Linked DNA regions of Oryctolagus cuniculus. The protein of the gene in region 5 interacts with the protein of the main gene of each other region in a biochemical or structural test. Links are inferred from orthologs where the notes say so. Each region holds a gene or a part of one and is shown on either strand. Other genes may lie near its edges.

What was found.
Region 1: the proteins of MAP1LC3A (region 5) and ATG7 form a complex in vitro, tested with the Homo sapiens proteins (2 studies listed by BioGRID, with this or other methods). The link is inferred for Oryctolagus cuniculus from reciprocal best matches to the Homo sapiens genes MAP1LC3A and ATG7.
Region 2: the proteins of MAP1LC3A (region 5) and PHB2 form a complex in vitro, tested with the Homo sapiens proteins (2 studies listed by BioGRID). The link is inferred for Oryctolagus cuniculus from reciprocal best matches to the Homo sapiens genes MAP1LC3A and PHB2.
Region 3: the proteins of MAP1LC3A (region 5) and MAVS form a complex in vitro, tested with the Homo sapiens proteins (2 studies listed by BioGRID and IntAct, with this or other methods). The link is inferred for Oryctolagus cuniculus from reciprocal best matches to the Homo sapiens genes MAP1LC3A and MAVS.
Region 4: the proteins of MAP1LC3A (region 5) and NBR1 form a complex in vitro, tested with the Homo sapiens proteins (2 studies listed by BioGRID and IntAct). The link is inferred for Oryctolagus cuniculus from reciprocal best matches to the Homo sapiens genes MAP1LC3A and NBR1.

Annotation. Positions count from the first base shown.
Region 1 is NC_091441.1:115,796,586-115,800,608, forward strand, and holds part of ATG7 (ubiquitin-like modifier-activating enzyme ATG7), read right to left. Parts: intron 947-4,023; coding exon 830-946; intron 1-829. UniProt on the Homo sapiens protein: E1-like activating enzyme involved in the 2 ubiquitin-like systems required for cytoplasm to vacuole transport (Cvt) and autophagy.
Region 2 is NC_091440.1:102,571,490-102,575,949, reverse strand, and holds the start of PHB2 (prohibitin-2), read right to left. Parts: upstream 3,143-4,460; 5' UTR 2,965-3,142; coding exon 2,838-2,964; intron 2,690-2,837; coding exon 2,605-2,689; intron 2,337-2,604; coding exon 2,257-2,336; intron 1,461-2,256; coding exon 1,276-1,460; intron 755-1,275; coding exon 625-754; intron 509-624; coding exon 405-508; exon of another isoform or gene 369-404; intron 364-368; exon of another isoform or gene 106-363; intron 29-105; coding exon 1-28. Other genes in the region: EMG1 (ribosomal RNA small subunit methyltransferase NEP1), read left to right, coding at 3,351-3,518.
Region 3 is NC_091442.1:29,184,489-29,188,511, reverse strand, and holds part of MAVS (mitochondrial antiviral-signaling protein), read right to left. Parts: intron 2,585-4,023; coding exon 2,403-2,584; intron 1,775-2,402; coding exon 1,615-1,774; intron 1-1,614.
Region 4 is NC_091448.1:19,834,078-19,838,773, forward strand, and holds the start of NBR1 (next to BRCA1 gene 1 protein), read right to left. Parts: upstream 3,292-4,696; 5' UTR 2,833-3,291; exon of another isoform or gene 2,782-2,832; intron 2,508-2,781; exon of another isoform or gene 2,421-2,507; intron 1,953-2,420; exon of another isoform or gene 1,801-1,952; intron 1,340-1,800; exon of another isoform or gene 1,176-1,339; intron 1-1,175. UniProt on the Homo sapiens protein: Ubiquitin-binding autophagy adapter that participates in different processes including host defense or intracellular homeostasis.
Region 5 is NC_091442.1:23,538,251-23,542,818, forward strand, and holds MAP1LC3A (microtubule-associated proteins 1A/1B light chain 3A), read right to left. Parts: upstream 3,070-4,568; 5' UTR 1,481-3,069; coding exon 1,441-1,480; intron 1,130-1,440; coding exon 1,074-1,129; intron 997-1,073; coding exon 890-996; intron 674-889; coding exon 511-673; 3' UTR 504-510; exon of another isoform or gene 248-503; 3' UTR 90-247; downstream 1-89. UniProt on the Homo sapiens protein: Ubiquitin-like modifier involved in formation of autophagosomal vacuoles (autophagosomes). While LC3s are involved in elongation of the phagophore membrane, the GABARAP/GATE-16 subfamily is essential for a later stage in autophagosome maturation.

The DNA.
Region 1 (4,023 bases), on a different chromosome or scaffold from region 5:
CCTGAACAGCTGTCGGAACGCTCGGGCTCGGGGTCTCAGCTCCGCAGCCTGATCGTGCCAGCTGCTCCTCTCCCATCACCTCCGAGGACCTCACCCTCCTTCCCAGTGAGATGGCACCCACTGGCTGTGCACGTGCCACTCCTGAGGGGGCAGTCCTGCCGCCGTGCACGAGGGCAGAGGGCAGAGGGCTGTGTGATTTCAGACGCTCTTCCCGCAGAACGATGCCTTAGGTTTCCCTCCACTCAGTGTGAAGACTCTGTTTTGGTAGATTCTTGCAGTCTTTCAAAGTGTCCCTGTAACCCTCCTTGCTGGCTTAGCATCTCACCAAACACCATGGAAACCTGGAAAACTCCTGCTGACTGCATCTGCAAAATGACCCTGTGAACATTCTGTCAAGAAGTCTGTTCCCGGGCCAGCACTGTACCATAGTGCGTAAGGCCACTGCCTGTGACGCTGGCATCCCATATGGCAGCCAGTGCGCGATCCAGCTCCCTGGGAAGGCAGTGGAAGATGGCCCAAGTACCTGGGCCCCTGCACCCACTTGGGAAACCTGAAAGGAGCTCTGGGCTCCTGGTTTCAGCCTGGCACAGCTCTGGCTATTATGACCATTTGGGGAGTGAACCAGCAGATGGAAGACCTCTGTCTCTCTCTCTATCTTGGTAACTCTGTCTTCCAAACAAGAAAAGAAAAAAGAAGCCTGCTCCCAGTGCCAGCTTCGGAGGCTTCCAGAGTTAGCACCTCCTTGTCCAGAGCAGTGCCCGTCTGTCCAGATACCAACATTTGCACACTGAAGCCAATGTTACCAGTACTTTGTTTTATGTGCTGATACCTGTTTTGGTGAAAACCTCTGATCCAAACTCACTGGCCCCTGAATGAGAGGTATACTCTCTGGAAGACAGAGGGCGGGATAGCAAAACCAGTAGTAGAAGTGGTACTTCTTTAGATCCTAGAATAAAAGACATAACACACGGTATTAGTGCAGCACCAAACATCAAATGGAAACACATGTATTCATGTAATTTCTCACAGCTAATGAAGAGAGGAAAGCATGGTTGACTTGCCATATTCTCATCTCAAACACAACCCAGCACCCAGAGCTTCTGATTTCTGAGTACTTTCACCTATCACACGCTAAAAATATAACGATGAACACAATTTGCTTTACGCACCACGTGTGTATCAGTTCACAAAACCACGCTGGGAGGTCACTGCTGTCACCCCATTATACAGACAGAAAACTGAAGCTCCGTAACAGACACTTGAACAACAATGGAAAAGACAGCAAGTGGCAGAATGAGGATCAGAACTTGGCTCCTGGACCCTCAGCTTCTTCCTCACTGAACCATGCACACCCAGTGCACCACGTGAGCAGGCATGGCCTCCACACGGCTACCATTCTCTAATACTTTACACACGTTACGAAGGAAGCCATGCTGCTCACGTACAGCTGCCTTGTGGATCCATGGGTCTTGCAGTTACGAAGTTAATCACGGATTGACAATATTAATTAAAATAAAAACTGCACCTGTGGTAACGTGCAGATGTTTTTATCTTGTGGGGTAACCACCGTGTATGCAGCACTGAAGGATGTGTGTAAGTCATGCAATGATGACACCATTTTACATCAGGACTGGAGCACGGTTGATTCTGGTATCCATGGGGGCTCCTGGAACCAGTTTCTGGGATACTGAGGATGACTGTACCTATGCATGCCTGCGATAATGAAATTTTGATTTCTGACACGTCTTACTGGTGAAACTCAACAATTAAGCACCTGTTGTATACAAAGCAAACATGAGCCTCTCTAAAAATAAGATGAATGAACTCTGGAATCAGCCACCCTCCTCGAGGCGTGGAGATCCCGCGAGTGCAGGAGTCACTGGAAGCCCCACAGGCGGCTCTAAGGCCTATGGAGCCAGGATGCCAGAAGAGTTCTACCACCACGGCTACTTCTGACCACTCCCCAGCCAGGGGAAGTGGCCTGGCGAAGGGACTCGGGGGCTGTCTTCCAGGCAGAGGCCTCCTGTGGGCCCAAGTCACCCATGAGGTGGATCCCAGAGTCACATGGCTATGACCAGGCAGCCTTCTCCCACGGACTCTGCCATGCTTGACCACCAATGCAATCTGACTAATTAATATTTTGGGGGCCGGTGCTGTGGCACAGTGAATTAAACCAGCATTTGCAGTGCCGGCATTCCATATGGGCACTAGTTTGAGTCCAGGGTACTCTGCTTCCCATCCAGCTCCCTGCTAATGCACCTGGGAAAGCAGCAGAGGATGGCCCAAGTCCTTTGGCCCCCATACCCATATGGGAACCCTGGAAGAAGCTCACAGTTCCTGACCAGCCCAGCTCGGGCCATGGCAGCCATTTGGGGAGTGAACCAGCGGATGAGAAATTCTCTGCCTCTCCTCCCTCTCTCTGTAATTCTTTCAAATAAACAAAAAAATCTTAAAAAACAAATATTTTCCACTGAAACCTGGATGCTTAAAATTTACGATGTTAAAGTATATAGTTTAGTGGGCCTTTCTTTTAGTATACCTGGATGCTTGTGCCACCATCAGCTACTAGTCCCAAAACACTTTGAATACCCCCAACACCCCCCATACCTACCAAAAGAAACTCCCTTCTCTCTCCTCCCCTTCTCCCCCGGCAACCACTCTTCCCATAAATGGAATCATACTTGATGACTTTTTTTTTTTTTTTGACAGGCAGAGTTAGACAGTGAGAGAGAGATAGAGAAAGGTCTTCCTTCCATTGGTTCACCCCACAAATGGCTGCTACAGCCGGCGCGCTGCGCCAGTCTGAAGCCAGGAGCCAGGTGCCTCCTCCTGGTCTCCCTATGCAGGTGCAGGGCTCAACCACTTGAGCCATCCTCCACTCCCTTCCCGGGCTACAGCAGAGAGCTGGACTGGAAGAGGAGCAACTGGGACATCCGACGCCCCAATCAGGACTAGAAACCAGTGTGCTGGCGCCGCAGGCGGAGGATCAGCCTAGTGAGCCGCGTGCCAGCCACTTGGTAACTTTTTAAATATACACTTATATATTTAAGTATGTATCCAGATGAGGAAGTTGAGTAACCACAGTTTCTGCAGTCTAATTCTGCCACTGGTTGATCAGTTAAGGTAAAACTCCCATTTCACAAGGGCAAAACAAACAGCAAGACTGAAATGAATGACATATCTGGTCCTTTCAGTCCTAAAAACAGCAGAAAGGAAGCAAAATCATCCCCACAGATTACTCTTTGTACTTAAGTGACTCGTCCTCGCCCGTCTTAGTAAAAGGTTAAACAATTCAAGATGAAGGACCTCACACAGTCTGAGAAGCTTGCTTTATCGGGTCATCTTCAGAAGTCAAAAGGCTTGAATTTCTTGGGATTCTTTTCACATTACAAAGAACTTTGTCTAAATTAAACATAAAGCTCTTTGTGTCTGAAGATTTGAAAAGATAGAAACCTTTAATATTTTCAAAGGGGCAAGTGTTTAGCATGGTGGTCAGGATGCCAGCAGGGCACCTGGGTTTGAGCCCTGGCTCTGGCACTTTACCCCAGCTTCCTGCTAATGCACGGTAGGACGGCAGTGACAACGGCTCGGGGTCATGGATCCCTGCCACCCATGTGAGTTCTCAGCACCTGGCATCTGTCAGTCTGACCCAATCCCGGCCATTACGAGCACTTGGGGAATGCACCAGCAGACTGGAGCTCTTTCTATCTCTCACATAAATAGACAGAAACACACACACACACACACACACACATTATTACTAGGAAGACAACATTCAGGAGATACAGTGGGGAAGAAGGAAGGGTGAAACTTACAACTTGGAAAAAACAAAAAAGCAGAGTGGGAAAGAAGACAACCAAAGCTGAAGAAGCTGTGGTGAAACCAGTTACCAGGTGGCAACATTAACACTCACAGGCCCGCCCCACAGAACTTACTCTGAAGAATTGAAATAAAGAGGAAAACGACCACCACTGTTCACTACAATGGTTTTTATAACAGTGAACGTTGGATACAACAGGGTGC
Region 2 (4,460 bases), on a different chromosome or scaffold from region 5:
CAGGATTCTTGCTCAGTGCCTCTCCAAGGTGAGCACGGCAGGGTTAAGGGCTTACACAGGGCCAGGTCTCAATCCCTTGCCCTGTCCTCACCACTTCCTCAGGGCCGTCAGGTCCAAGGTTGCGCTCAGGTGGCTCCTGCTCCGCCCTGCACCTGTGGGCCTCCCTGCAGGCTGCTGTCAGCTCCTGGGCACAGCAGCAGCAATGAGGCAAGGCCACTGCGCTATTGATCTGACCTTACAGTGGGGAGCCAGGCCTCAGGCCCCCCACTAAGATCTCAGATCCCATCTGCAGCCCCCCCACCCCACCCCCGGAGCCCAGGGGCAGAGAGCCGGAGTCGCATTCGCCTTAGTCTCATCAGCCGGCCCACAGGGGAGAGGAGTGGAGCTCTCTGGCAGAAGGATATCATCTTGGCGGCCTCAGCCTCGCCCTCGGCCTGCACAATCTTCTGGCGCTGTTCCTGTTTTGCTTTTTCCACCAAGAACTGGGCCCGCTGGGCCTCTTGCTGGGCTACAGGGTGGGAGAGGCGGAGGGAACAGTCAACAGATGTGAAGGTCAGGGGCCTGATCCAGAGTCCGTTCTTCCACATTCTCAGACGCCCGCGCCCTCCTCCCCTTGCAACTCACCCACTTGCTTGGCTTCCACGGCAGCTGTGTACTCTCGGCTGAAGCTCAGCTCCGTGATGGCCACATCATCCAGGATGAGGCTGAAGTCCTTGGCCCGCTCCGTCAGCTCCCGCCGGATCAACAGGGACACCTGGGGGCAGGGGTGAGGAGGGGAGGGCAGGGCCGGTTTGTGGGAATTGGAGAACTGAAAGGAAGGTTGTGTTGCTATGACCACCTGAACACAGATCACGTAAGTGTGGCCATCAGCTCACCCAGCCTCTCTTGGTTCCTCAACAGAACATCTTCGCATTTGATGGGGTGGGGAGTTGGGGGGGGGGAGGGAGGCACAGCCTCGGAGGTGGGACAGCCACCCCAGGCTAGCAGGTCCTCCAACTGTCTCCGCTACTTAGCTTCCTGTCGGGCCGACCCGTGACACAAGCCCCTGTGCCGAAAGAGGCACCGGAGAAGCCTAGGTTTTCCCTTCGCTCCCTCCCCAAGTGCCCTCGAGCTCTGGTGCTGGTTTTTCTCATTTCTCGCGTGGCCATCAGTTCAGCTTTTAGTGGAAGTGGAACGGCAGCTATGGCCCTTTTCTAAGAAGCTGCCTTTTCAGGACATTTAGTTCTCTGGGTCTAGCAGGGCAATGACACCGCGCAGACGGTGAGGGGGGCCGACCTGGGCTCGCTGCGTGATCAGCTGCGAGGCATTGAATTTGGCCACCACGCTCTTGAGCACCTCGTTGACGATGGACGGCAACACTCGCTCCTCGTAGTCCAGCCCGAGGCGCTGGTACATGCTGGGCAGCTCCTGGGCATTGGGTCGAGACAGCACTCGCAGGGAGATGTTCACCATCTGCAGGTCTGAGAGTGAGGTCAGCAGTGGATGGCCAAGGACGAGTGTCCTTCCCTGAGCCCTTTCTCTTCCTAGGCCCAGAACAATGACACGCAGCCTGCTGCCCCCCTTGGGGAAGGGGTGCAATCAGGCCAACAGGGAACACAGACACAGCATGTGTGCCCACACACGAGGGCATCTGGGGAGCCAAAGGCAGCGCCGACTCCTCTTCTGCCATTGTATTCATGCACCCTCTAATGCAGGCCCTGTCATCTGGCTCTTCTACTAGACAGTGAAATCCTTTACTCCCAGGATTTATCCAATGAAGAATGGACCTGTGCTAAAATCAGTACAGGGCACATTACAGGCTACAGGTATGCTACTCGCCTAAGTGTGTACACATCTGTGTGTGTGTAGGTGGGATGAAAAGGCGGCCAAGCAATCTCAAAGGAAAGGCTTCTAGGAAGAGGAGCAGGTGCAGGAGTGGGGAGAAATTTCTCCAGGACACAGGGTACTCATGGATGAGCTACTGAGTCAAGCAAGAGAGAAAAAAGGCTTTCAAATAAAGCTTTGATCTTGGGAGTAAGACAAAGGCCTGGCAGCGCTCTCCTGAGTTAGTGGAGGGAGGTGCCAAGAATAAAAATATGCAAACACACTGTATCTGGACCGTGTTGGCCCTGGGAGGCAGGTGGTTCTGTTAGAGCTGTTTCTGCAGAGGTGGAACCCAAGGTCATAGGGACCTCCCCAAGGGTCTCTAGTTGGGCTCCCTTATTCAATTTTTAGGGGGTCCAATCTGCCACGTGACTCTCAAGCACCCAGACCTACCTTTGGAGCCTGTGGGGGAGGAGATTTTCCGAGGCCTGGCCCGAATGTCATAGATAATGGGGTACTGAAACCAGGGGATCCTGGCGGGAAGAGACGGGAACAGGTGTTAGGAGACTGCGGCTTCCCAGCATTGCCTGGCTTCCTCTCGCCACGCGGTCTTTGGCCTGCCCCTCCCCGCAGTGACCACAGACAAGGGGCGAACAACAGGTCATGTGTTGATCCAACTTCGGGCAGCACGCGGCTGAGGCGGGGAAAGCGCAGCGCCGACTCCCATTCCAAGTCCGACCACAGCCAGCGGTGGGTCGGCGACTGGGAGCTTCGGGGTCCTTGTGCTCCACCCTCCATTACCTGAAGTGCAGGCCCTCGGCCAGGATGGTGTCCTGCTGCACGCCCCCGATCCGGTTAAAGAAGATGGCCCTGTGCCCGCCTTCCACTGTGGGGAGAGGAGTGAGGGTCAGGCCAGTGCGCTGCTCGGAGAACGTGCTGGGCTGAGGGCGGGGGGAGTGAGGGGCTCGCGGAACGCGGGAGCTGGCGACGCAGGCCGGGGGTCTGGGGTCCGGCTAGCGGTGGAGGTTGCTCACCGGTGAACACCGACTCGCGGACGCCGTAGGCCACGGCGCCGGCCCCCAGCAGCAGTTTCAGCGCCGTGCCCATGCCCCGAGGCCCGGCGGGCAGCCGTCCTGCTAAGTCCTTCAAGTTTTGGGCCATGTCTGGTCCGGAGGCCGGCGGCACCGGAGGTCAGAGCTGGGGCGGCGGCCCGCCTCGACCCCACTCGTTCAGAGATCACACCCACACACGAGGGTTCGAGGCCGTGCTGCTCCCGGGAGAAAGGGCACCGGAAGTGCGCTCCTCTCTAAACCCGCCCCCTGCGCGCAAGGAGGACCCAAACTTCGCGCACAGACGCGCGCACCCGGAAGTCCCGCCCCCTTCTGGAACCCTGCCCTCCCGGGGAGGCGTCGCTAGCGCGAGACGGCAAAGCGTCGCCATTTTCCAGCGCCCACTTTCAAAATGGCAGGCGGAAGGAAGTTTGCCATTTGGACGAACGCGGGGTCCTCAGTTAAGGACGCCGGCGCAATTTCCGGCCCGGTGGCAAGATGGCTGCCCCCAATGGTGAATTCCAGCCTCGTGAGTGGCGCTCTGGGGAGCGGGAAGAGGACTGGGATGCTGCGGCGCCCAAGCGGCCTCGACTCGGGGCAGGAAGCAAGAGCGGAGGCCGCAGGCTCATTGTGGTGCTGGAAGGGGCCAGTCTGGAGACAGTCAAGGTAGTTTGGGAGACGAAGTGGCGAAGTAGGCGTTTTATATGGGCTTTGGGATGACGCCGAGGGGCTCGAAGTGGACGGAGAACGCATGCTTTTGGATGAAGGGGGCCTAGCTGCTGTCTCTTGGCTTGACATCCCGGGTGGACTATTCATTTTCTTTTCCCTTTTTCGAATCCTGTTCCAGCCCGCGTCTCCTTGCCTCTAGTTGCTGTACCAGGCTCCTGTGTTACAAAATCTTTTAAGGGGAGAAGCGTTTCGTTCATGCGTCAGCCCACCTCTTATTCCTAAGGGCTCTGTGTTGCAGTGCGTTAAGGTGCCCACTGTCACCGCCTCTCGGTAGTACGAGCCAGTACTTGTATGTCTTCATTTTTGCTTCTCATCCGTCTCTTCCCATACAGTAAAACCGTCAGCTTCCTGTTATGAAATGCCATCATTCCCTCTGGTTTTCTTACTCTTTTAGAACTTGTTCAAGGAGTAGGCCAGAAGAAATAGCATTGCTTGAGAAGTCTTACCTGAATTTTAATCTTGGTTCTGTCACTGATGCTAAGTGTGATTTTGAGAAGATAAATTCGTCCTCCGTTTGTAAAATGAGGATAATACGTTAACGTAGAACTGTTATGAAAGTCCTTTAATCTAAGGTGAGATGCTTTTGCATCTGTTCTCTCTTAACCACGGTGACACTTTATTAAGCTTGCAGTCTAGGAAACCTGCTTTTTTTTTCTAATGTACTTCATATTTGCAACCTCATTATAGGTTCTCCTCGTCATCTTCAGTAATTGTCTTTCTTTCCAGTGTATTAACTCTGCATATTAATTTTGGCATTTGTCATGTCAGGTATTGCATATAGCGAATTTGCAAATGTACCAAGCATGTCAGTCTCAGCAGAGCAGACGGGTTGAGAATGTGGACCTGCCCTGGGCTGCCTGGTTTAGATCTCTTCCGCCT
Region 3 (4,023 bases), about 5.6 Mb from region 5:
TGCAGGTGGCAAAGCAAAAGTGGAAACACAAACCCAAGGAACTGTTATCCCAAGGGCTGCAAAAGGGCCCCCTGCCCGAGCTCAGCATGCCTTCTGCAGCTGCAGGCCTTATGGTTGCAGCCACTGGCCTGAGTCCCAACAGCTGCCCTGCCCTTGACCTGTAGCCCCAGGTCTGCCCTGTCACAGGCATTAACTGTCCTTCCTCCTGGCAAGACCCAGGAGCCGCAAGGTTATCGTGAATTCTTCTCCCGCCCAGGACACCCCCTCTCACCTGCACCTGCTTTTCCCACCTTCTCCCTAGCCAGGTGGGACCTGGGACGCCCCTAGCACTGATGTCCCCCCGCCCCCAGGGCACATCCCAGTGGGACGATCCTGCATCAGGCCAGGGAGAGCAGGACGGCTCAGGCTGAAGTGGCACCAGAAGCTACCAGCCCCCAGGGGCCAGAAGATGTGGGGGCAGGGACAAAGTGCCCCAAGAGGAAGCGCAGTTTTATCAGGATCCTCCGTGGGATGCCGGGAACACACATGCCAGGCCCCAGGGCTGACAATCGGGTGATTCTTCTGTTTTTTAATTTTTATTTACTTGAAAGGTAGACAGAGACCTCGCATCCTCTGGTTCACTCCCCAAGTGCCCACTATGGCTGAGGCTGGCTAGGCCAGGCCAAAGCCAGACCTAAGAACTCCACTTAGGTTTCCCATGTGGGTGCAGGAACCCAGTTACTTGAGCCATCAGAGCTGCCTCCCAGGATCCGCACGCACAGGAAGCTGGCGTCGGAATCTGGAACCAGGACTCTAACCCAGGTACCCGGATGTGGGACACAGATGTCCTGTCAGGACAAACGTCTCCCTGGGGTGACTCCACTGGGCCTTCCTCCCAACAACAGTGGCACAGACTCTCTGGGGACACATGACCACAAATGTCCTAAAACCCAAGTGCATTTCCACCTCCACCCCAGACCCCACGGCACCTCCTGAAAGGCATCCCGGGAAAGCTGACATGGCAAAGTGCAAGGCAGGTGCTGTGAACAGGTTGGGGGTAGCTGCAGGAGGGGGCACTAAGCTGGCATCTCCCAGCCTTTAGCTGCTCGGTGCCTCCCAGGGGCCCTGAGAGCTGGCCAGGCACCAGCATCCCGTGGAACACACTCTGGGAGGCAGTGGAGAGGTGTGGGCCTGGGAGGTCGCGGCGGACGGCTCCACGTTCCTGAGGGGCAGCACTGAGGTCTGGCGTGGGGCCAGGCCCCAGCTGATGATTTGCTGGGAACTGACAACACTTACGGGGTAGGGCAGTGTCCAAGTGAGCTCTGCTGCCAACAGTCGGCCCAGCCCTGGCCATCCCACCCTTTGACAGGGGGCAGAAATGGACCTAATTCTCTTCCCCCACCTGGGCAGCAATGTACTGCAACATCTGCCCAGCCAGTGACCATGCCCCCAGCCAGCGACCACATCCTAGCCAGTGACCACGTCCCCATCCACTGGCTAAGGAGCCTCTGCTCCCTTTATTCCCACTTTGTCTCTGGTCCAGGAGGACAGAGGAGTCATTCTGACCCTGACGCTGACCCTCTCACCCTCTCGGGGAGGCCAGTGAGACCTTGTAACGCCACATTCCATGCATACCTGCTGTGTGGATGCTGGCCAAGTCTGTGTCCTGCTCCTGAGGCCTGCTGGGGCTTGGAGGGCCGAGGGCTGCTGGGTCAGAGGAGGAGGGCTCCAGGGGAACGCTGGGTGTCCTCAGGAGGACCCCAGAGCTGGGTGTGTGTGGCGTTTGCTCTGAACCCTGAAAGAGGGAAAATCAGCAGCTGCGTCCCCTGAGAGCTGGCAGAGAGCGCCTCACGCTCCGGGGACCCCCGCTACCGAAGGGCTCAGCCACCGCACAGAGCCCGGGAGCCAAGGAGACGCAGCCGGACCCCGTGTCCATGGGCAACCTTGCCTTGACCTCACAGAAGACACGCATCAACCCAAGGGCAGTCCCTGTCCACCTGTGGCCCCGGGGATGGGTCCCCCTCTCTGCAGCCACGCACAGACCCCTTCTTAGCCTCCAGGTCTCCTGGGTGCCCGCTGCCCACTCCTGACCTCTCAGTAGACACAGTCTTCTCTCCCCTGGACTTGATCTTCCTGGCAATCACTGCAGCTCGCTGTCTGCTCCCTCGTCCCACCCTCCCCATCAGCTGGTCAAGCCCCAGCTTCCTCCCCCAGCTCCGCATCTCATACTGGCCACCGCGGAGCCCTCTGAGCGGTGGCCTCCAAGCCAGCTGGAGGCAGAGGGCTGTGGGCAGCAACACGCTGAAGGCCTGGCCAGCCGCCTGAGGTGGGTCTGAGGCAGCCCCCCTTCTTGTAAGGGCCTGAGAGGGTAGAAGCGGGCAGACAGGAACACAAAAGCAGGTAGGCGGGCGGTGAGGACGCACCTCTCCCAGGGACTTGGGAGGCTGGGTGTCCTGGACAGGCAAGGGGTAACTTGGCTCCTCTCTGTGGCCAGCGTGGGGGATGCTGGGGTTTGCAGCAGGTGCAGAGGCCCCAGGAACCTCGGCAGGAAGTGATGGCGCCTCCTGTGGTGCCCCGCGAGGGGCTCCCGGGTGGGATGCAGCCCCTGGAGGACAAAAATACAGTGATATCAGGAAGGAATGGGGGGCTCCCTGTAATGGAGACACCTGGCAGCTCTTGGGCCCCCAACCCCCTCCATAGTTCAAGGCTGTCCCAATGTAGGGTGCAGTTCTGGGAGGCCACTGGGGGGAGGCAGGAGTAGCAGGCAGAGGGGAGCTGGAGAGGCCAAAGATAGGTAGCAAGGGGGGAGGCGAAGTTGGGGGGGCTGCTACCACTCACAGACCCCTGCCCCGCCCATCCCTGGCCCTGCAGCAGCTGTCCATGCTCAGGGAATCACTGCAAATCTCCACCAATGAAGAAACTCACAAGGAAGGAGGCAGGGACGGAGAAAGAAAAGCCAGTGTGGGGCATCCCGGAGCTGGAAACCTGACTGGGGTCTCCGAGGCTGCCCAGGCCTGAAGTACAAGGAGTCTTAAGACGGACACGGAGGGCCCGTGTTTGCCTCGCAGTTAACACCTGCGCCTGAGTGCCTGCAGTGCCAGCTCCACTCCTGACTCCAGCTCCCTGCTGGCACACACCCTGGGAGGCAGCAGGTGATGGCTCGAGTAATCGGACTCCCACCATAGCATGCACGACTTGGGCTGCAAGTCTAACTTCTAGCTTTGTCCTAGATCAGCCCTAGCTGTTGTGGGCATTTGGTGGGTGAACCAGCAAATGGGAGCTGTGTATGTGTGTGCCTCTCAAAATAAATTAAAAAACCGCCGGCGCCGCGGCTCACTAGGCTAATCCTCCGCCTTGCGGCGCCGGCACACCGAGTTCTAGTTCCGGTCGAGGCGCCGGATTCTGTCCCAGTTGCCCCTCTTCCAGGCCAGCTCTCTGCTGTGGCCAGGGAGTGCAGTGGAGGATGGCCCAAGTGCTTGGGCCCTGCACCCCATGGGAGACCAGGATAAGTACCTGGCTCCTGCCATCGGATCAGCGCGGTGCGCCAGCCGCAGCGCGCCAGCCGCGTCGGCCATTGGAGGGTGAACCAACGGCAAAGGAAGACCTTTCTCTCTGTCTCTCTCTCTCACTGTCCACTCCGCCTGGCAAAATAAATAAATAAATTAATTAATTAAAAAACCTCACAGAAACGCATGTTATGGGAGCCAGCACTGTGGCATAGTGGGTAAAGTCACTGCATCCCATCTGGCCACTGGTTCGAGTCCTGGCTGCTGCTCCACTTCTGATTCAGGTCCCTGCTAATGCGCCTGGGAAGGTAGCAGAGAATGGCCCCAGTGCTTGGGCCCCTGAACCCATATGGGAGACCTGGAAGAAGCTCCTGGCTCCTGGTTTCAGTCTGGCCCTGCTCTGGCCATTGATGGCATTTGGGAAATGAACCAGCAGATGGAAGATCTCTCTCTCTCTCTGTCTCTCCCTTTCCCTCTGTAACTCTGCCTTTCAAAAGAAAAAAGAGAGAGAAAGAAAGAAAACAAAAGAGAGAAAGAA
Region 4 (4,696 bases), on a different chromosome or scaffold from region 5:
TGTAAAATAGATCTAATCTCTTTGCTTTGCCTGTCTCACAATGTTATTGTAAGGATCAGATAAAATCTGTGTGCAAATTCTTTGAAAACATTTTTCAAGTATAGAAATTAATACAATAGGGGCTGGCGCTGTATTGAGGCAGGTTAAAGCCCTGGCATGCAGCACCGGCAACCCTTATGGGCGCCAGTTAGAGTCCTGGCTGCTCCTCTTCTGATCCAGCTCTCTGCTATGGCCTGGGAAGGCCGTGGAAAATGGCCCAAGTCTTGGGCCCCTGCACCCACCTGGGAGACCCGGAAGAACCTCCTGGCTCCGGGCTTTGGATCCGCCCAGCTCAGGCCGTTGTGGCCATTTGGAGAGTGAACAAACGGATAAAAGACCTTTCTTTCTCTCTGACTCTATCTCTCTCTGTAACGCTTTCAAATAAATAAGAAATCTTTAAAAAAAAAAAAGAAGAAGAAATTAATATAATAGGGTACAGGTGTTCTGGTGCAGGTTAAGCCTGCATCCCATATCAAAGTTCTGATTCAGCTCCCTGCTAACATGCCTAGAAAAGCAGTGAATGACAGCCCAAGTACTTGGGTCTCTGCTACCCACATGGGAGACACAGATGGAGTTCTAGGCTCCCAGCTTCAGCCTAGACCAGCCCTGGCCATTGTAGCCATTTCCGGGAGTGAACCAGTGGATGGAAGAGTTTCTCTCTGCAACTCTACCTTTCAAGTAAATAAATAAAATCTTAAAAAAAAAAAAAAAGGACATTACTACAATAAACCAGTCTTCAGGGGTAGCCATTTGGCCTAGCAGTTTACAGTTGCTGGTTATGACACTCACATCCCACACTGAAGTACCTGGATTCAGTTCCAGGCTTTGGCTTCTAATCCAGCTTCCTGCTAATGCAGACTGGGAGGTAAAAGCGATGGCTCAGGTAGTTGGGTACCTGTCACCCATGTAGAAGACCTGGGTTGACGTCCCAGCTCCTGCTTCTACCTAGCTCAGACCCAGCCATTGCAAAGGTTTAGGAATGAACATGTATTTCCCTCAAATAAGTCTTCAGAAGCTTAAAAATACTATTTTTTTTTTCACAGTATAACGAACTACTCTCAAACAATACAACTGAGACTGCCACTTTAAAGACTCTGAAATCTCTGAAGATCGGGATTTCATTTTTATAAACTTACTCAATGATCTCTGCAAATTTTCCCATTCTTTTTCTCCACTTAAATTCACCACAAAGTAATGCCAGACTCGCAGCAATCCTACTGACTTCTAGCAGTCATTCACATGAAATACATCTCTTGGGGTCCTTATGATATGGGTAGAATCCCTGACAATTCCCTGTGACCTTGTGCAAAAAAAAAATCAGAGAAATGAAGTGACTAACTCAGCCTGCCCTAAGTGAATATTCTGAAATATACTTTTAGTTTCCAATGTCAAGAAACACATTCTCATACTTTTGAAAGTCCGGAAGGAAACCAATCTTCCTCCTTCTTGCCCAAATTATCCCATTAGAAATTAGTTCAGATACTTGGCACTCACCCAGCTGGTCTGCCAACGGGGAGCAAACAGGAAGTGGGAGATTCTAGCTTAGCTGGACCACAGCCAGGTCTTCATAAAGAACTGCCTATCTCTTTGGCGTTCATGTGAAAACTCTTTCAAACGAGAGCATAAATCTTGAACTTTGGAAATACTTCAACTCTGGCTCGTTCCGTGGCTCTATAGATGTAGGGCCCGTACAGTCAGGTAGCTGGGGCCCACGCCCTCGGCTTTCATAACTGGTATTATAAGTTCATGTCACTGACTCACCTTAGCTTGGCACAAGTCAGCTTTTCCTCTACGTCGGTTTTTTCTTCTTCTTTTTTTTTTTTTAGCCTCAAAAAAAATCCTTTTAATTAAGCAGACCTGGGACTGCGAGCTTTGATTACTGTCCTATCCGGGCTTTTAGTGTGATATGAAAGCTAGGTGTTTGACAAAAGAGATAAACAGTGCTTTTCCAATACCGAAGTTCCCTAAGGTCTCTGGACGCGGGTCTCAGAAAGGGGACGATGTGATGAGGGGGATGTGTGGGGAGCGTCTTCATCCTGCTCTTCCAGCCCCCCGTCTGCCTCGCACTCCATGTCCCCAACACACTGTCATCGCCCCCTAAGGAGTTACTCCTCTGCCTAGGCCCTCTTTGTACTGGGAGATCCCGACCTCCCGTCGGTACAAGCCAGGCGTTCTGAGCCACGGCCCCTCCATCCCGCCGGCGGCATCGGCTCCCTCGGTCCCTCCGAGCGCGAACGGCTCTCGTCTTGTCACTGAAAAGACTGGCTGCCCCTAGACACGGAAAAAGTCGCCCCTATTTGCAGGGTTCCTCCCCTGAACTTCCCCAAACCCATTCAGTGTGACGTGACCCCACTCCTAGGTAACCGCAGCAGCTTGCTTACCAGCTTCCCGCCCCCGGGGGGCGCCTGCCGGAGGCCAGTGCAAAGACCGTTCGCTGCCAGCTCTGCTGCTCTCCCTGCGGGCAGAATCTAACATGGCGGAGAGAGACAGGGCCTAGTCCCCTGTTTCCTCCGAGTTTCCGACAAGATGATTGGCTCTTACCCTTGTCCCTCAAAACGACCACCCCCCCATTGATTGGTTGAGACTGCCCTGGCGGGGGCGGGGAAGACACAACCTGACCCTCACAACAACAACAAACACCGGGGCCGAGGGGCGGAACTACGAATGCGCAGTCCGAGGCTGGGGCGGGTTACCCCTCCCCAAGCAAACTCCGCGTCCTCCGCCTTCCCTCAGGTCGCTGACCTTAGTGGACACGCGAGGCCTGACGGGAATTGTAGTCTTCCTGGAACTTACAGGTTCTTTAGCGTCCGCTCTTAAGATATAAACACCTAACAGCACTCCAGTCCATAGCTGTCGACGTGCATAACCGCGCGGATGGCTCCAGTCTTTCAACTACGTGTCGCGAGGATCGTGCCCGTTTCCAGAGTCGGGAGCTCTTCTCCATAAGACTACAGTTTCCAAGGAACACTGTGGCGAAGGCCTTTCGTTACGCAATGCATGCTGGAGATCGTAGTTTCTTTCCCCCGACAATCTTTTTATTTACCTAAACGGGGCACGTCCATTGCGGCGGAAAGGGTGAGGGGATGGGCTCTCTTCTTGCGACTGCTGTGAGCACTACCTTGCGCTCATATTCAGGCCTCAGGTAGTGATTCCAACCCTTGTCCAGCAATTACTGTGACGTAATAAGCTGTAACCAGAAGCGTAGAGGCGAGGGGGCGGCCACCTAATAGAAAACTCAGAAGTCTTTCTCCCGTCGCTTTCTAATTACGTCATGCGGGGGTGGGGTGGGGCAAGAGAGGATGGCCAATCCGGAGCTGGGAGGCTCCTGCTCCGCCCTTCCGCTGACGTCCTTTAATCTCGCAAGCTGAGAGGCTATAGCTCCGCGGGAGCGGCGGGTTTCCATGGCGACCGAAAGCGCGGGAATTACAGATAAATTGAAACTGAGACTGCGCGTCGTGAGTTTTCTGCGGCTTTCTGGACCGATTACAGTCGGGGGGCGGTTTCTCAGATAACTGGGCCCTAGGGCCCGGAAAGCCCGGACTCCGATCTGGTTAAAGGTGAGAGAGTCCCTAGGAAATGAAGAGGGAGCCAGGAGGTGGTCAGTTGAGAAACAAACAGCTGTGAGAAGAGTGGTCTCCCGAAGGAGAGCGAGATGGGCATTCCTCGGGCCGGAGGGTGTGGGGGTGAAATCTGAAGGGCCTACGGGCTGTGTGGCTCTGAGATGAATCCTGGGGAGGGGGGCAGTTTGAGTCACCAGGCGGGCACCGAGGATAAGGACAGGCCACGGTGTGTCCGAGGGAATCCGGGTGACCGGATGTGCAGGGGACACCTTGAGCGTAAGAATGCCAGAGGCAGGGACCTGGAAGAAGGCCCAGGATTGTCGGGGAAGAGGAGGAGACAGGATTTTGTGTGAGACAGAACCCTCTGGAATTGGATCCGTAGGCACTTTGGGGAGGGGACGGGAGAGATGTATGCTCCGGGTGCGTTGGTGCTGGAGCAGGTCTGTGGGACGCTCTGGGGAAAGGCAGGGGTGGCGAGTGTTCCTGGTGTAGGTTTTGCTGTGATTGGTGGCAGTGCCTTTGGTTTTAATCAAGAAAATGAAAAAGAAAGAAAAAAGCCAGCCTGGATGGCTGGAGAAAGCTGAGGCTGTCACCACTCACCCCATTGGAAACCTATATGTAAACTGTAGAGAATTCAAACCGTCTAATTACACAAGGCTTCGTGCAGAATTTTTTTTTTTTTTTTTTTTTTTTTTTTTTTTTTTGACAGGCAGAGTGGACAGTGAGAGAGAGAGACAGAGAGAAAGGTCTTCCTTTTGCCGTTGGTTCACCCTCCAATGGCCGCCGCGGCCGGCGCGCTGCGGCCGGCGCACCGCACCGATCCGATGGCAGGAGCCAGGAGCCAGGTGCTTTTCCTGGTCTCCCATGGGGTGCAGGGCCCAAGCACCTGGGCCATCCTCCACTGCACTCCCTGGCCACAGCAGAGGGCTGGCCTGGAAGAGGGGCAACCGGGACAGAATCCGGCGCCCCGACCGGGACTAGAACCCGGTGTGCCGGCGCCGCTAGGCGGAGGATTAGCCTAGTGAGCCGCGGCGCCGGCCCGTGCAGAATTTTAAAAAATAATGCCTTTTGTCATTAGCTCTATGGGTTGGTGTAAT
Region 5 (4,568 bases):
GTGCTGGCAGGCTAGCATGCTGTAGGACAGCACCAGCAGCCCCCCCCCCGCCCCCCCCCCCCGCCCCAAGAAGCAGCTGGAGGCAGAGGGCCAGGCAGGCCTGAGCAATCTTTATTCTGCAGAGGGACAGTGACCACAGATCCATACACGTGTGGAGGTGGGGGAGCCAGGGGCCAGTCTTTCAGGGGTGGACAGGTCCAGGCAGGGGACAGAGCCTCAGGAGGATGAGGGGCAGACAGGCAGGGGCCTAAAAAAAACAAACCACACAGAGCAGGGGTGCTGGGGGCAGCTCTCCACCCTCCCCATCCCAACCAGCACCCAGAGGGGCAACCCTAATGTGACTGGCCCAAGATCCACTGAGGAGCAGAGGGGGCTGTTTGGGCCCCTCTGGCTAGGGGCCCACATGCCTGCCCAGCCCACCAGGGGCAGCTCAGTTCAGGAGCCAGGCGCTCCCTGGGGAGAGCTTGACCAGGTCCCCCACTCCCAGGCCAATTCCCCCCTACTGCTGGCTCAGAAGCCGAAGGTTTCCTGGGAGGCGTAGACCATGTAGAGGAAGCCATCCTCGTCTTTCTCCTGCTCGTAGATGTCGGCGATGGGCGTGGACACGCTCACCATGCTGTGCTGGTTCACCAGCAGGAAGAAGGCCTGCGTGGGGTTCAGCTGCAGGCGGCGCCTGGGGCAGGCAGGAAGGGCAAACCCGTGGTGAGGGAGGGTGGCCCTGCTCCCTGCCAGAGGCCCTCACCTCCCACCCCACAAGGACTCAAGCTCGGGCCTTGGCTTTTCCCAGCTCCCCAGCACGCAGGCCCAAGGCCAGGCCTACGCCCCTGACCTCACTCCACTCCTCCAGGAGACCCGACCCAAGCCCCTCGGGCAGCTGCTGCCTGCGCACCGGATGATTTTAACCAGTTCGCTCATGTTGACGTGATCCGGGACCAGGAACTTGGTTTTGTCCAGGACTGGCAGCTGCTTCTCACCCTTGTAGCGCTCGATGATCACCTGGGAGCGGGCAGGTGGACCACAAATGAGCCAGGGCTGGGGGCGGGGCCGGGCCGGGCCGGGGCCGAGGGACTCACCGGGATCTTGCTGGGGTGCTGGTCACGAATCTGCTGCACCTCCTTACAACGGTCGGCTGCGGACAGCGGACAGCGGCGGGGCGGTGAGACCGGCCGGCCTGAGGTCCTCCCTGCGGCTCCGCCCGCCGGTCTCCGAGGGGCGGCTCCCGGCCCCGCCCCGCCCCCGCCCCCAGCCGTCCGGCCTCTCGGCCCCAGACTGGGGACACGGTGGGGAGGCGGGTAGCCCCAGCCCAGGCCAGAGCGGCCTCACAGACCCGGTAGGCCGGAGCCTGACGTCATGGGGCTGACGTCACCTGCGGCACTGGGGGGTCGGTTGCCCCCCAGGGATCTCCCACCCCCTGTCCCCGGATCGCCCGCCAGGCCTCACCAAAGCTTCGCCGCTGCTTGAAAGGCCTGTCTGAGGGCATCGCGCGGGCCCGGTGGGGCGCGCAGCCGGGACTCCGGGGCGCGCGGCTCGAGGAAGGGACTGTGATCCGGGGACTGTGATCCGGGGTCTCCGGGGACTCCGCGCCTCGCGCTCAAGGGCTCCGGGGCTCGCGCTGAACGCGGCGGCAGCGGCGGCGGGAGGTAACTCGCTCCGGTGACGTCAGGTCACAACATTCCTTAAAGGGGAGGCCGGCGCGTCGCTCCCATTGGCCCGACGCAAAAGCCGCCCGCCCAGACCATGACGTCACGGCGCCGCGGGCCTGGATTCTCTGCAGAGACGCGGAGGGGCTGGGGTCTGTGTGCGCTGGGGCGCGTCACAGTTCGGTGACATCACGGCCCGCGCGGCTCCTCTCCGGTTTAGACCGAGGTGGGAGTGAGGCGGCTGAGGGAAGGCGCGGCCTCGCCCGCATCTCGCGCCCTGGACGGCCCGTCCCCTCGGCGCTGCGGGGCCCGCGGGAGGCCTGGGGTAGGAGAACAGCCAGGCTCAGGGGACGGGGCGGTTAAACGCCAGGAAAGCACGGCGCCGGGGAGCAATGCCTGGGTCTGAGGAAGGATTCTAGAGTTCAAAAACCGAGCCGTGCAAACGCAGGCCTCAGACGATGAGGTAAGGAAGCAGGTTAGACAGCAGAAGAGAACATCGCGGAGCTGGAGGGGGCCCAGAACACCCAGAGGCCGTGGTGGAGGACAGCGGGGGCCCGTGGCAGAGGGGCAGGGAGCACCCGAGGTCCGGCCGAGCAGGGCAGCGGAGAGCAGGGGCGGGTCCCCCTACGCTGCTCAAGACCACGGCTCCCACGGAAAACCTGGACCGGGGGCCAGCGCATAAAGCTGCCTCCTGCAGTGCCGCCATCCCATATGGGCCCTGGTTCATGTCCCGGCTGCTGCTCTTCTGATCCAGCTCTCTGCTATGGCCTGGGAAAGCAGTGGAAGATGGCCCAAGTCCTTGGGCCCCTGCACCCACGTGGGAGACCCGGAAGAAGCTCCTGGCTCCTGGCTTCAGATAGGCACAGCTCTGGCCGTTGCAGCCATCTGGGGAGTGAACCAGCGGATGGAAGACTTTTCTTTCTTTTTCTCTTCCCCTCTCTCCCCTCTCTTTTCCCTCCCTCTCCTCTTCTCTCCGCCTTTCAAATAAATAAATAAATCGGGGGGGAGGGGGGGACTACCCTGGAGCAAGCCGAGCTAAAAAGTCAGCACCGAGACAGCTTTGCAGTGAATTTCAGAACTCCAAAAGCTGGATCTTAAAAGCTACCACAAAAGGATGGATTCACTTCTTTCTTTATTTTTTGACAGGCAGAGTGGACAGTGAGAGAGACAGAGAGAAAGATTTTCCTTTGCCGTTGGTTCACCCTCCAATGGCCACCGTGGCACCGAAGGCAGGAGCCAGGTGCTTCTCCTGGTCTCCCATGGGGTGCAGGGCCCAAGCACTTGGGCCATCCTCCACTGCACTCCCTGGCCACAGCAGAGAACTGGCCTGGAAGAGGGGCAACCGGGACAGAATCCGGCGCCCCGACCGGGACTAGAACCCGGTGTTCCGGCGCCGCAGGTGGAGGATTAGCCTAGTGAGCCGCGGCGCCGGCCAGGATGGATTCACTTTAAAACGTTATGCCAACAGCCAACTTCTCGGCACTAAGTGTACAAAGTTGAGAAAGATGTAATAGTACCTTCTAACCTCTAAAGGAAAAATACTGATAAGCTGTGATTTCAAGAGTTTGGGAGATGGGGGGTCCATGTTGTGGCACAGTGGGTAAAGCCCTGGCCTGCGGTGCTGGCTTTCTATATGGACACCTGGTCAGGTCCTGGCTGCCCCACTTCCAGTCCAGCTCCCTGCTAGTAAGCTTGGGAAAGCAGTAGAAATGGCCCAAGTGCTTGGGCCCCTGCACCCAAGTGGGAGACCTGGATGAAGGTCCTGGCTCCTGACTGTTGCACCCACTGGGGGAGTGAGTGAACCAGCAGATGGAAGACCTTTCTCTCTGTCTCTCCCTCTCAATGTCTGAATCTCTACCTCTAAAATAAATAAATAAATAAAATATTTTTTTAAAAAAATGACAGACTAATAGGAGGAACTGCCAATTCTGCCATTGCAGTGGGAGTTGTTTTGCGATTTGTTTATTTGAAAGGCAGAGTTATAGGAGAGAGATCTTCCATCTGTTGATTCACTCCCCCAGTGGCTGCAGTGGCTGGGGCTAGGCTGGGCTGAAGCCAGGAGCTTCTTCTGGGTCTCCCATGAGGGTGCAGGAGCCAAGCACTTGAGCCATCTTTTGCTGCTTTTTCAGGCACATTAGCAGGGAAACGGATTGGAAATGGAGCAGCTGGGACAACAACCAGTACCTCTGTGGGATGCTGGTGTTGTAGGTGGTGGTGGCTTAACCTGCTATGACACACACTGGCCCCTGTAGGCAGAGTTTTAAGACCTCTTTCACGGGGCTGGCACTGTGGCATTGTGGGTTAAGCCACTGCCTGCAGCCCAGGCATACTGTATGGGCACAGCTTGAGTCCTGGCTGCTCTACTTCCTATCCAGCTCCCTGCTAATGACCTGGGACCCCTGCACCCATGTGGGAGACCTTGAAGGAGGTCCTGGCTCCTGGCTTCAGCCTGGCCCAGGCCCTGCCATTGCAGCCATTTGTGGAGTGAACCAGCAAATGGAAGATGTGTAACTCTGACTTTCAAATAAATAAATAAATCTTTAAATACCTCTTACAGTAACCAATAAACTGAACGCCCAAAGGATTTAGAAGATATTAATACAATGACTAATGCTGGTCAGAGATGCTGAAAGGACCTTTATCGCAGCATGGTTCTTTGAATCATATAAGAGACATCTACAAAAAGTGACCAAAACAAATCTCATTAACGGATAGCAAATAGTGAATCTCACACAGGCCGTATTCTTCGACCACAGGCAAGAGCCAAAGACACTCCAAATGTTTGGAAACTTAAACCTCCTTGTAACTCTAAAGGTGAAATCATTTAGAAGTAAAAAAATATTTAGATCAAAACAAACATAAGCCAGTGCCGCAGCTCACTAGGCTAATCCTCCGCCTTGCGGTGCCGGCACACCGGGTTCTGGTCCC